Lytechinus pictus: one gene and its partner. Each later gene encodes a partner of the first gene's protein in a complex. Links are inferred from orthologs where the notes say so. Each region holds a gene or a part of one and is shown in the gene's direction. Other genes may lie near its edges.

Region 1 (7,012 bases):
TTCATGCTAGGTGAAGTAAATGTGTAGCCGCAGGAAAGAATTCCTCAGAAAAAGCTGTGAAGACCAAAATCAGTAGCCTAGAATAGCAGGGTTAACAGTGCTTTAAGCATGTGCACAATATAAATACCCTAAATTTAAAAAATGAAAAACACCTTGGCAGAACAAGCTTCACATTCTGATGGCAAATGCAGAAAGTGGCAAGATCCAAGAGTACAACTACCATATCAATGTCTACTACCGAATCCCCATTATTAGACAACAGTTTCATACAAAAGGCTAGCTGATCAAATTCAACAACGAGATTATAAGAACAAATACTGCAGTCAAGATTTGTCAACCCAACCCAAGAGTATGAAGCCTTTTCTATGAGAATGAAACTCACCCATGATACGCAGAGCCCCAGCACACATGATACAGGGTTCTACTGTCACAAATAGTTTGGTATGTGAGAAGACCTCTTCTCTCTTCATCTGTTTGTCTTCACACCATCTCATTGCTTCTTCTAAAGCTAAGATTTCGGCATGTCTTGTGGCCTACAGTGCAGTAGAATGAACGTTATTGAAATGAGAGGTGTAAGTAACATACAATCTACAAAAGCAAAAATTTAACTAAAATGACCATTAAGACAGATTTACTTGTTCTGTTTTTCAAAAATTCTGCAATAACTTGAAAATTCATAATCAATACGCCTGTATACAGAGCATTTTTTCAAATTTGGGGGAAACCCTGTAAAGCTGTTGTACTTTCTTTTTCAAAACATGGATAAACTGACCTATGATAAGTATTTTCCTTTTTCAATACAAAGTTATAATCTACAAGAGCAATTCAATCCAAAATTCATTGATTATCGGTATATGAATCAATATTAAAGCAATCTAATATTACATGTATGTTGAGTAAAATGAATTGAATAAAGATGTACAGAAAGGTTTGATACAAATCTCAATAAAGTACAAGGCATTGATTTTATTTTATCTTTTTAAATTGCTCAAAATTAGACACATCTTGTTCCACAGTAGAGTATTTGAAAGGTTTGTGAATCTCATGATCTTGGTTTGTAAGTGCTGCATACTATTACCCCGGCTTTAGCATGGCTACCCTGCGGATCGGACGCTCAAGCATTCACAGAATTCCTTCCTGCTGGGTACCTATTTACTACTCCTGGGTGGAGATTGGCAAATGTAGATAAATGCCTTGCCAAAGGACGCGAGTGCTGCGGTGGGATTCGAACCCCAGACTTTGTGGTTCAAAGTCGGGAGACTTATCCAAACTGAGTCACATTATCTCTGAGACCTGATATGAGACCTGGAGTGTATCAATCATGGGAATTCTTATCTGAGTTTCAGCAGGGACGCCCTGGTTTCAGCTACAATGATGGACTTTTCATGTCAATATATGGATAGGATGTGGTAGTACTGCTTACTAATAAATTAAGATTCAAACTTTGCACCCTGAGGTGCAGACTGCAAGAGGTGCAAAATGACATCAATAATATAGTGCTCTGATCCCTTAGTACAAAGTTTTATCTTTTCTGCAGCTTCAAAGTGTGTAATAAGCAGTATAACTTACATTTTTGGTTTGGTTGACAGCATTTCCTCCTGTCCCTATGATCTGATCATTATACACAAGGAGACAACCTACTGGGACCTCTCCTCTACTTAGGGCCTGCTTACCCTGCACAAAAGAAAACATATCTTAATTTCTCATAGGGAACTGACCATTGTTCACTACAAAACATTTTGCTACATCTATTACAAGCAATCTAAAGAGTAGACATGGTAGTTAGGGTTTCTGAGTGTTATTAACATCACTAACAGAACTTTTTAAAAATATGTAACCATTCATTTTCAGTCCCATAGTAATTGGATACAAACCATGCACACTGCTTGCTTCATCCATTTTTCATCATAAGCTTCGTCATACAGTTCCATGGTCTGTAATAAAAAAAGATGATAATTTAAATTGTTTCTTTTCATCTACAAGTTAAATATCAATATTATTTTACTAATATTATTGAACTTTGAAGCTCAGTAGAGGCATACGGCCAATGTTGGAGACTCTCTCCCATTCTGGAGATTATATCCTGTACATCAGTATTCAATTTAAAGGGATGGTCCGGGCTGAAAATATTTATATATCTAAATAAAAAGAGTAAAATTCACAGAGCAAAATGCTGAAAATAAGATTAAAATTGGAAAACAAATAATGAAGTTATTGAATTTTAAAGTTTATCCATATTTTGTGAAAACAGTTATACGCACATCGTCATGAATATTCATTTGGTGGGCTGATTATGTCACATCCCCACTTTCCTTTTTCTTATGTTATTACATGAAATCATAAATGTTTCATTTTTTCATACATGTGTAAATGATATTTCTGCATTATGAAATAAGTTGCGGCAATAAATAACTAATGCACTTAATCAGTTGTCAATTCAATTGTTTTAGTTTTTGGTAGAAAAAATTTGAATAAACCAAATTTCATATATAATAAAATACAAACGAACAAGTGGGGATATGACATCATCAGCCCACCTAATGAATATTCATAAAGACATGCCTATAACTGTTTCACCGGAATAATGCAAATCTTTAAAATTCAATAGTTTTGTTATTTGTTATCCGATTTTGATAAAATTGTCAGCATTTTGCTCTGTGAATATTACTCTACTTTATCGAGATATATTTCCAGCCAGGACCATCCCTTTAAGAGCCAGTCTCCACTATGCAAGATTTTTTCTGTTTAACATTTGCGTCAGAGGGATTACCATGGTGGCAAAATTACTCCTCTTAACCATATATGCTCAAGAATTCTCCATCTACTTTTGTTTTCATTTATATTTTGTTATCATGTGGTTTTGACCTAGCTGCAAATTTTGGAGGGGAATTAACTTTCTAGTTCAGTGTTGTTGCCTATCTCTTTTGCAAAGCATGTCTCCAATATCAGAGATTGTCTCCAAAATTGGAGAAAGACTCAAATATCAGCCATGCGCCTCTACTGCTCATATTTCTTCAAAAGGTTAACCAGACACAGTTCGAATCATTTGCAAGAGGAAATCTTAAAATAAATGTTAAGGACTTTGAGTTTGATGTCTCTTTCTGTATCCAGTGTAGATCTAGGCCTAATGTTAGACATGCTAGATGCCTGGCTAGTGTCTAGACTTAGACCAAAAGCTTCGGTCTCTGTTAATGTTATGTTGGTTGTTCCGCTGAACTCGTTGGCTCCACTCACCAAATACAGAGACCGAAGTTCTAGCTCAATCTGTACAGGGACTCGATGGCCATATGTTTATGTATTAAGTTCGGATAAAACTGGGAAATGAAGTTGCGCGACAGCCAAAGTAAGTCACTGTGTTTCCCCCTTTGAAGTTTTTTCCCCATTTTGGTGCATTTCAGGCCAAAACAGAATAATATAATAATCTTTATTTTGGTACAGTTCTTTTTATATATTTTTATGAAATAAAGACAAAAATCGATGAGCCCCGTCGGGGGGATTTTGCATTGTTAACCCCTAGGGCCTATGCGTGGCTGCACGATAGCGAGCCTAGCCTGGACTCTGGTCCTGGAGGCTAGTTTTCTGGGGAGTAAAAGTCATCTACTATACGGAAGTCGTAGGCTTACTCCAGCCTACGTATAGTAGATGACTTTTACTCCCCAGAAGCCTCCACTCCAGTCCAGGCTAAGCGAGCCGTCTGTGTACGAGGAGACATTAAAAAAAAAATGTTAAAAAACTCCTCGAAACAGATGCCTGCCAGCTCAGCAGCTGTCTAGTCTAGACTATACTAGACACTAGTGGCAAGGCATGGATGCTGATCGAGAGATTGAGCTGAGCCTGACTGAGATTTCACAATTAGTGAAACCTCGGCTCAATCTCTCGATCATCCTTGCCTTGCCACTTACCTTAATCCAAAATTAAAAGTTTACCCTCCTCGCACCTATCAAGTATCATGCCTATCTGTCACTCTTGAGTCTTGGCGTCTTGCTGCTGACGTAACGACCCACTGCCTCAGATCAGGCTCAGATACCGGTAAATCTGATTAAAAATACTCGTTAAGAGAATCTCCAACTGGTACATGTAATGTACCGTAGTCAATAACCAACCCGCGGACAACCGCTGATAAGTACATGACATGAGGTGCATATGGCGTCTGGTTGACCGGCCGCGGCAACAGTACCTGGTACAGGCGCAGGCGCGGTTTAAGTACGGTACCGGTACCTGTACCTAGCGTTACCCGGGCCGGGGGCGCGGGCGAGGGATCCCCCGCAACCACACTCGTCTCGCGATCGATCGCGCCCGTCCTTAATTTCTTCCGTATTTTATTATCGCGAGGATACCGTACCATACCATCTGAACGGTATACCCATCTGAACTGAGCTGAGGCGAGCAAAAGAAAACACTGCAAGAATATCCTGCATTTTATATAAGAAGCCGGAATAGCCAGAATGAAATTGGTAAGAAAACCTATCCGACCTCCTGCCGTTATGTTATTGTTGAAGTGTGTGTTTGTGTGTCTATTAGTTACAGCCAATTAATGATCAGTCAGCTATCAATCATTCACACAAACAACAACATGAATGCTAGCATGTGGGGCTATGTTAATCCAGCAGATTCAAAGGTTCAGTGGATGATCCTGATAATTCATCATCATCATCATCATGTTACGAGGTGAGGTAATCCTGTTGACCTCGATCTCTTCATCTGAAAATTGCAGTCCATCTCCATACGATGTGTTATTACGTCATAAGTCATAAGAACAAAAACTTGCACACGTGTAGGGTAGAGACGGTTTTGATCATTTGGACTTGGAGATTGAAACGCTCAGACCACCAAAACTTATCGAGTCTTAATTTGAATACATCGATGGAGCCTGAGTCAAATAACTTCTTGGGGGAGGCTATTCCAGTCATTCACTACCCGGTTACTAGTAAAAACGCATTTGCGTATGTCGAGTCTTGATCGTTCTTTAAATATCTTTAACGTATGACCTCGAAGATGTGAATTATAGGGACAGTGATTTTCCGTTTCAAAAAATTGCCTTTTCCGTTTCAGAAAATCTCAAATTCCGTTTCAGCATGTCAGAAAACGTAAATTCTGTTTCCCCATAGACTTTGTACACACGGAAAAGTGACAATTCCGTTTACACATTGAATAGCAAAATCACAACACGTACACTCGCACTGGTCAAAATTTGTATCTGCTACTAGCCTGTACCAACAACACAATAGAATCTGTTCTAATCGGATCTATGCGGGTGCATAAAATATTTTTACAAACCCATTTAGCATGCATACATCCTCACCTTTCACATCATTAGCATTATTTCACGATGAAATGATATTTCATCGATAATTTTGGGGTTTTTTGGACATCGTTATCATCAGTAAACGGCTTTTGCCAATCCGCCATCTTGGATTTTAAGACCACGATATCGTGCTGTTACATCTTCTAAGGTAGAGGGCAGCAACACACAACCGTGTAGTTGAACGATATGTGTGCATGTGAAGCCCAACCCGGCCGGCCGGGCGCCGGGTACGGCTACGGTGCGGGGTACAATCGAGTGTGGTGATGTCGAGTGCAGTCACGACGTGTGAATTGTCATGATAGTAGCGAAGTGAGATCGTGTTTTCTGGGGTTTTGTGGCCATTTAATATTCTCATTTTGTTGTGATTTCGGAGTAATTTCTGTTGCTATTCTGTGTATTTTTAGGGAAAATACGTTTTCCGTGATTTTCCGTTTGAAATGCCACTTTCCGTTTCAAAAGGCCCTTTCCGTGAATTCCGTCCGTTTTCCGCGATCGCGGAAAATCACTGTCCCTAGAATTAGTTGATGGCAAGAAAAAGTGACTTGAGTCCATCTTGACCATTCCTTTCAGTATTTTAAATACCATAATGGCATCGCCTCTCCTTCTTCTATAATACAGGGAGTGTAAGTCCAATACTTTTAATCTATCTGAGTAGGGGAGTTCTTTTATCTCCTGCACCATCTTAGTTGCTCTTCTCTGGACTTTCTCAATTTTATCCGCATCTTCTTTCCATTGAGTGTTCCACAAGATGTTGCCATACTCTAGGTGTGGTCTTACCAATGTCTTAAACAAAATTGGTAGGGTCCTTGTGTCCAGTTGAGTGAAAGTCCGTCTGATGATACCAAGGAGCTGATAGGCTTTGCTTACTTCCATTGATATATGCTCATGAAATTTGAGTTCCGAGTCAATCAATACTCCCAGGTCCTTTTCTCTGGTAGATGAGGCAACTTCATCTCCATTCATGTGATATTTATCTTTCTTGTTATTTCTCCCAAAGTGAAGAACTGTACACTTATTCTGGTTGAAAGGAAGTTGCCATTTTTCAGCCCACATGGTAAGTTTGGACAGGTCTGCCTGTAAGGCCTTGGATTCTTCATCATTCCCTACTGCTCTGTACATCTTAGTATCATCCGCAAAGAGTAAGATCCTGGAGTTTATGTCACTAGGCAAATCATTAATAAAAATGACAAATAGGATTGGCCCGAGGATACTCCCTTGCGGTATACCACTCTTAACATCTGTCCAAGATGATGTCACTCCATTTATAGCCACTCTTTGCTTTCTGCCTTTCAGGAAGGCACTAATCCAGGCAAGAAGAGGGTTCTCAATTCCATAAGCTTTCAGCTTCAATAAAAGTCTTTCATGAGGTACTGCATCAAAAGCCTTCTTAAAGTCTAGATATAAAACATCAATAGGTTGGCTATCGTCTAATATCCTAGTCCATTCTTCAATGACTTTGTTGAGTTGTGTAGGTAAATTGTTCACTGCTTGTATTAACTCTAGGCTTTCCAATTATTTGGAATGTGCAGGAATTTTAGGCAATGAGCAGGCAGGGTTTAGAGAAAGTCATAGTACCCTTGATCACATATTTACATTACATGGTTTGATCGATTTGTATCTACACGATGCGAAGAGAATTTACTGTGCCTTTATTGACTACAGAAAAGCCTTTGACCTTGTTGACAGATCTAGTCTCTGGTCGAAGTT
Region 2 (7,188 bases), on another chromosome or scaffold:
AATTCTACAAAATTATTTTCAAAATAACAATTTAAATTTCATAATTAACAGAGCTCAAATTGTAATTAAAAAAACTATACAACGGCTGAAACATACTGTGTCTGAATACCGAGACTAATCTCGAGCCCATCGCAGCGGGGATGGCATCACTCACAGCTGTTCGTATACGCTCAAAACAACCCTTCTCGATCAGCGAGTCAGATTCACAAACGCCTAACAACACTCAAAATTGAAGTTCATTTCCGCTGGCTCTTTACGAACCAAATTCAATTCAACTTTCACAAAATGTTCTCAAATATTCAATTTCATTAACTTAGGGCCTACCGAGTTTCAATAAGATCCGATGATTACGGGGTGATTTCAACTTCAAGCAAAGAAAAATTTATACCTTAATATTAGGTCCTTCCATCCCATTATGGTAAGTGAAACTCAGTGTTGTTTATTATCGATATTTGCCAAAGGTGTACAAAGCAACCACGGGAATTTTTGACCAATCAAAATCAGCAGAGTAAACAGTAGAGGCGCACGGCCAATATTTGAGACTGTCTCCAATGTGGGAGATTATCTCCAATATCAGAGACTTTTGTAAAGAATTTGGGTATCCAATTTCAGAGACAGTCTCCAGTTTTGGAGTCCAATTTCCTTTGTTTACATTTGCTGCAAAAGGATTAACTTGGCGGCAAATAAAAATGTGATAAGCAGATTCCTCATGAAAAATTACCCCTTTTCACCGTCTACTTTAAAAATTCACCGTCTACTTTTGTTTTGATAAGGATTTTTGTTGTCAATCACACACAAAACAAATGGGCTTCTGACCTCAGCGAGACAAAATTTTGGGTGGAAAAAATCATGCTTTTGTTGGTGTTGTTTCTTTTGTCCTTTTGCAAAGCAAGTCTCCAATGTGGGAGATTGTCTCCCCTATTGGAGAGAGTCTCCCATATTGGCCGTGCGCCTCTACTGGTAAAGGAAGAAACTGACTGTTTTATTGAGCAATTCCAAATGCAACTCCAGCACTCAGCCGAAGTGCCGAGCGGAGCGAACCGTGTGTGTTAGTCATGTGCTCCCCATTCACTGCAATGCGAAAATGTACGTTCAGCGCTCTGTCCGCACGATCGCTCGCATTTGAAGTTTTAGTGACTTTTAGTTTTACGACTGTCTTCGAATTATTATTTTTTTTGCGTTCTTTGACTTGGAGTCGGACTCGGAAACTGTTACCAAACGTGATTTAAGATCATTAACAAATTTGTCTTGAGACTTGAGTCTGAGCATTATCTGATTATAGAACTGTTAATGATATTTTTAAAAATAGGAATAAAATAGGTCTTGCAGGTAATTTCATTAAAAAAAAAAAACTGGCCACCCAGCCAGCCACACGTTTCACAACGCATGGGACCGAACTTGTTTCTCATGCATCCATACATAATTATAAACAACCTTTTAAAAGCATTTCATAGCATGAAAGTGGCATACATACCTGGGAATCTGTCTTGGTCAACTCAGAATTTATATTTGACGATGATGGTGACAACATATTGGTCATTTTTCTCTCTATTGTTGCGGGTTTTCAAGTTTACCGCTGCTTTAGTGGCCGTGTTTTTTTTTATTTGTTCTGTCTTCCTCGATCGAGAGAGGGCGTGTACCAAGGCCCTATAGGGCCGGCCTTGTAATCAACGAAGTATTGTATTTCTGTGATTCTATAAATCCCTATCTCAGAAAATAAAAAAATTGTATGATGTGCATACTGTACAACATGTACAGGCACGGATCCGGGGGGGGGGGGGCTGAAGGCACACGAGCCCCCCCCCCCCGTAGGATTTGAAAAAGAGAGAGGCAAATTGACCTTACATATCCAAAACCTTTTCTTTTTTTTTTTCTTTTTTTTTGCTTGTTAGTTATACTTGGGCGGACGAATAATATTGACCTTAAATTTAGGGGACAACATTTTTTATTAGGTATTTTGCTTGTCAAATTTTCAACGGGTAAAATATGGCACCCCTTTTTGAAAAAATCCTGGACCCTGTAGCACACCAAAAATTTCAACTCTGGATCCGCATCTAGTGTACCTGTAAAATGAGACAATATTTTTGCTTTCTTCAATAATATAATCAATACATTTTGGATTTTGTACCATTGTTTAAAAAAAAGAGAAGTCGCTTTGTCGTATTTCATGTATTATTTAGCCTATTTCATTCCGTGGAACTTGCCCTTGATGCCTACTTTTCATTTCTTTCTTTATTACCTTTCTCAATCTTTATTTACCTTTCCATAGGCTAAACTTAGTTGCACTGAGATTGGGGAGCCATAAAAATATATGAAGATATTTTTTGTATTTACTTGTTGGATTTTTCTGAACGAAAATACCCCCTTTTGGAAAAAATTGATCCGTTCCTGCCTCTTTTTCCCCAATTATAACAAATAGCTAGACTCGACGCTGGGTCAGATCTTTTTTTTGGGGGGGACAGGTTTTTATTGAGAAAAAAATATAGGATAGCCCAGCATTTCAGTACCAGACGATTATGGTTATCCCTCAAACTATTGTGATTAATCATAGATTTTAGTTCCGTGAATGATATGACGGGGGGGGGGGGTTACCTTGTTATAGCTATTTGTCGATCTTCCTTTGTTATTTTTATTATCAATTTTGTATTGTTATATCGATACACCTATTTGACAAGCGGCGTGCCAATTAATTTCATAATGAAACATTGTTAAAAAAAATCATTATTTTTAGGACGTCGGATTAACACTATTTTTTTAAAGGTATTATTATCTGAATAATTGCACCGCCGCTGAAATGTTTTGATTCCTTGATTTTTCAATCTTTTCTTAACAATAACAACAATAATAGCGGTATATTATTTACCCAGGGTAGCCACTTCAGTTCCGAAAACTGGGCCCAGCGGGCCCTGCTATTATTACCCCGGCTTTAGCTGAGCTGTCTATATAGCGCTCAAGCATTCAAGGAATTAGTCCTGCCGGGTATACCCATTCACCTCACCTGGGTCGAGTGCAGCATTCTTTAAAAACACAAAAGGCAAACTTGAGGATGGAGGAATGGATGACCGGATGAGGAGTGACAGCACTTTCCACCAAATGCTGTCCCCTTTCGACCCTTTTAGAGCGTGTTGCTCCCTCACCCTTTCATACGGTGATGGGCAATAATTTCTATCTCGCCGATAAAGCCTATATATATAGCACAAATGGGAAAATTTAAAAGGTGACAAAAATATTTAAGGCCTATGAGACGAGCATTGAGGCCAATTAGAGCATCCGAGATCATAGCCTAATTGGTGGCCTTATTATGGATTAATCTAAGCACTGCTTAAACATTGCCATAAGGGATATCGAATGCTGATTCAGGTAGGCCTATTATTAGTGAGGTAGGCCTATACGATTGACACATTTTAGAAATGTAAAAATTAATTAAGATTAAGATTAATCTTGAAGTAAATTACCCCCCCCCCCCAAAAAAAAAAAAAAAAAAAAAATTGGGAAAATCTGATAACAGGCGATATATACTTCAGGAAACGCTAATGAGCTTTTTTAATCATCAGATTTTTAAAGGGAAAGCGGTTTGAGAATAGCGGCTAAGTTTGAACTTTTTTTGGGGGGGAGGGGCCTGGCCCTTGGAAGCGGGGGTGCCCGGGGGGGGGGGGGGGTGACTAAAATGGTGTGCCGAAGCAGCTATCAGCCATTCCCCTGGAAATCAGATTGGTGTACTAAAATGTAGAAACTTGACCCCCCCCCCAAAAAAAAAAACCACACATTTTGATCTTAGAGTGATAATCTTTATTTTTGCTTGTCATTTTTCCCCCGTAAAAAACCGTTCCCTAACATGAGGAGGGGTGCATGGAGGGGGGGGGGGTAGGCCGGGTTGTTAGGCCCAGACCTTTTTTATTTCTCTATTCGATTACGAGTAGTGCATAATAAAGCAGAGTCTGAAGTAGTGAGACTAGATTTACAATGTACTGTTGTTGCCTCTTTTTATAGAGAAAGAGAGTTTTGGAGAAGAAGGGAGTGCATAATTATGAGACTCGATCAGACATGAAATCGTATTTGATTCGAGTCTGTTCAAGCAGCTCGTAGACGTAGACTACGCACTGATCATTGGCATGAACTAGTTGAACTGATGAAGCGCTAACTTTATTTTCGAAGGATTTAGACTACCCATTTCTCCACGGATTGATGCTATTTTCACCTCAAGATGACAGATATAAGGATAGTTCCCTTAGGTTTGTATATTATGAGCCTATGTGTTTATATTTGATTGATAGTAATGTTTTTTACCGTGTTACTTTGCCGATTATTTCGTTGACAGTCCCATGTATTGTCATCCATGTTTGTTATAAATTATAATAGATCAACATTGTCATTCACAATGACAGACTGCACGCGTGTATGAGCTGAGCTTGACAAGTTGATCATACGACACTGTCAATGATTTGCAGGATTTTAGTGATTCTTTGGTGGTGGTAGCTACTAATGAATCAGCGTCACTAATGCCATTAATTATTTAGTTTTTTCGCAATTTGATAAATGAATTCAATTAGGAATAGGAATTTATACTTATAGGATATTTTTTTCTACTGTTCTATTAGTATAGTTCTCTCAGGCCCCTCAATGGCCTCAAGGCTTCAAGCCAAGGCAGGCCAGGCATCTTTTTTCAGGGAATTATTTTTGCAAATTTGTTTTATCAGCATTGTTTTTTTTTTTTTTTTTTAGGGGGGGAATTTGGTTATAAACTAATCTTAAAGTGACAATTAAAACTGACGATCCTCTGTGCAAATCTGCTTAAAAGATGGAACAAATTACAAATACAATCCAAAAAGTGTTCCGTTGATTGAGGCCAAGTCAATCTTGACGTTCATATGCCATATTAATCAATATAATGATTGTGGGCATTAACGGAAAGACAAGGCAAGGCGGCCAGCTCAATGTCATTTAAGCTTTCCAAGTCAAGTCTGCTGGAGCTGTTCCCACTTGCAATCTTGTCCAGGGGCCTGTAACACAAAGCTTAGCCTTAGCTGTATTAGCAATGGTCGTAGAACATTTTTAACAATTGATTGCATTGACTACAATGGCCAGTCAGTCGTAAAAATCAAGCGTATGATTGATCACTGACTTTTGTGTGACGGGACCCAGATGATGTTTTGTGTTGCTATAAAAATCATTTAAACAATAAGATATGGAAGCAAGACTCCAAAGAGTTTAGAATATATCCTTTTAACATGTTGACTACAAATACATGATTCCCAGTTTGAGTTGGCAATGCTAGTAGAATAAGTGATTGTATGATTTGACATTCATTTTGAAAGGGGCTGGTCAGGATGTTGGACGGAGCTGTATTCTTCTGACGATAGGAAGTAAGAATATCATGCTGGATTGTGGGATGCATATGGGCTTCAACGATGAAGTGAGTATACCTCCTTTCCCCATCCTCCTCTTTTTCTTCTTCTTCCTCTTCTTCCTCTTCCCTCCTCCCTCTCCCTCCTCTTCTTCCACCTCTTTTTATCAGTCATGTCATTCCTTCTCCTGTTTTCCTGTATCTTTTCTTATTTGTCCTCATTTTCTTTTCTTGTTCTCGTGTTGGCTTCTTTCCTTGATTTTGATATTTCCATTTCTGTTATTCTTTTATATTTGTTCTTATTACTCCACATGGGTATGTTTGATTATAAAAAAGGGACTTTTTGGTCATTGTTGTCTTTTAGTATAAATTTCCACTTTCCCTCTTTCTCTCTTGAAAAAAAAAATTCTTAACCATCTTTTTCCTTCTTGTTCTTCCTCCTCTTCAAAACATTTCCATTTTCATATATTTCCGCATATTCTTTCCAAACTTACTCTGTTGTAAATCTCAATACTCTGTTCTTCTGATGACCTGCCACAATATCTAATTTTGAATGTGTGTTTTTACCCTTTTTTTCCCAACAGAGAAGATTTCCAGACTTCTCCTACATCAACAAAAATGGTGGATTGACAGACCATCTTGATGCAGTTATCATTAGGTATTTGAATAGTTCTTGGAATATTTCAAATGATCTTTTTTGGTTTATTCAATTATTAGTTGATTTATTAATTTATTTGTTTTATTTCTGCATACCTGTTTATTTGTTTCTCATGAGTAACATATTTAAGTGTTTATTCACTTCTCTAAGGATTAGTACATGTTTTGGGGGAGTGTATCTAAGAACTAGACAGCATGGGCAAAAATGGGTGGCCACTTTAATTATTACACTGTCGCATGGAAGCGTTGTGGTGTGACCTTTCTGACTCTCACCTTGTAATCATTGTCATGTGTTCGAATCCCACCATGGCCTAATGTCCTTTGGCAAGATGTTAATTCAGACTTTCCCACACTCCACCCAGGTTTATGTGAAAGCCTATGCAATATGCCTTGCAGTTGAGTCTTGGAACTCTTGTCTTGTTGGAATGCTCTCAGGGAGTTGAAAAGTGCTTACCGGTACATTGTTTGCAGGCATGCCAGGGTCCGATGACCACGTTGAAAATAATTCCAATGTAAAGTGCTTAGAAACGCAAAGTTTTATGCACTATATAAACGTGAAGTTGGTTCAGTTGGTAATGTCGAACCAAAGGTCGTGGTGGATTCAAGTCTACCCTGTGCGGATGACTGCGTTGTGTGTAAACATCGCTCCCCTGTTCCATAGATGCAGGCTATGTTACAGTGGAAAACACTCCATCCCTCGGATAGCATGTTAAATGGAGGCCCCGTGTAAAGGAGAGTCGCCACTTTTGCACGTTAAGACCCCACTGCACGTTTTGTATAGAGTAAGGGGAAACCTGTAGTGGTCCACCTGCACTCCCCCCAACCAGTTATATCGAGAGGAGAGACCTGCGGGTCACTTTGATTCAGTTTGCTTTTCACCTCCCGGGCACAAGAGATGCCAAACAAATACAAGCAGCCATGCATATATCTCTTAGTATCACATTTCTTCATAATAAATATTGTTCTCCAAATAAATTGCTTTTCATGTTTTTTCCATCCCCAGCCATTTTCATCTTGATCACTGCGGAGCCCTCCCTCACATGTCTGAGATTGTCGGCTACGATGGACCCATATACATGACACAGCCCACCAAGGCTATCTGCCCCATACTCCTCGTAAGTGTGCATGCCTATTGCGGCAATGCATTATTCATTACACTTTTCAATCTTCAAATTGGCAATATTTAT

The links.
Region 2: the proteins of integrator complex subunit 9-like (region 1) and integrator complex subunit 11-like are in contact, whole or in part, in a cryo-EM structure (PDB 7SN8), measured with the Drosophila melanogaster proteins. The link is inferred for Lytechinus pictus from reciprocal best matches to the Drosophila melanogaster genes IntS9 and IntS11. Residues at the interface, in NP_648838.3 of Drosophila melanogaster: Glu128, Tyr198, Asp199, Glu200, Lys201, His230, Asp333, Ser334, Ala337, Tyr338, Asn340, Ile341, Glu344, Gln351, Val354, Tyr355, Leu356, Pro357, Asp358, Asp359, Pro360, Arg509, Lys510, Leu511, Asp512, Arg513, Ile514, Tyr515, Ile516, Ser518; in NP_651721.1 of Drosophila melanogaster: His94, Lys97, Ala98, Pro135, Thr137, His139, Gln140, Ser141, Glu149, Lys151, Lys274, Thr277, Tyr278, Lys280, Met281, Phe282, Ile283, Thr284, Trp285, Phe294, Val295, His296, Val450, Lys451, Ile452, Pro453, Val454, Asp455, Ala456, Ser457.

The regions. Positions count from the first base shown.
Region 1 is NC_087245.1:1,541,193-1,548,204, forward strand, and holds the start of integrator complex subunit 9-like, read left to right. Parts: upstream 1-3,965; 5' UTR 3,966-4,445; coding exon 4,446-4,454; intron 4,455-7,012. Other genes in the region: tRNA-specific adenosine deaminase 2-like, read right to left, coding at 383-533, 1,570-1,674, 1,875-1,931. UniProt on the Drosophila melanogaster protein: Component of the integrator complex, a multiprotein complex that terminates RNA polymerase II (Pol II) transcription in the promoter-proximal region of genes.
Region 2 is NC_087250.1:18,424,785-18,431,972, forward strand, and holds the start of integrator complex subunit 11-like, read left to right. Parts: upstream 1-4,084; 5' UTR 4,085-4,204; coding exon 4,205-4,232; intron 4,233-5,315; coding exon 5,316-5,413; intron 5,414-5,928; coding exon 5,929-6,002; intron 6,003-7,004; coding exon 7,005-7,116; intron 7,117-7,188. Other genes in the region: serine/threonine-protein kinase greatwall-like, read right to left, coding at 1,475-1,540. UniProt on the Drosophila melanogaster protein: RNA endonuclease component of the integrator complex, a multiprotein complex that terminates RNA polymerase II (Pol II) transcription in the promoter-proximal region of genes.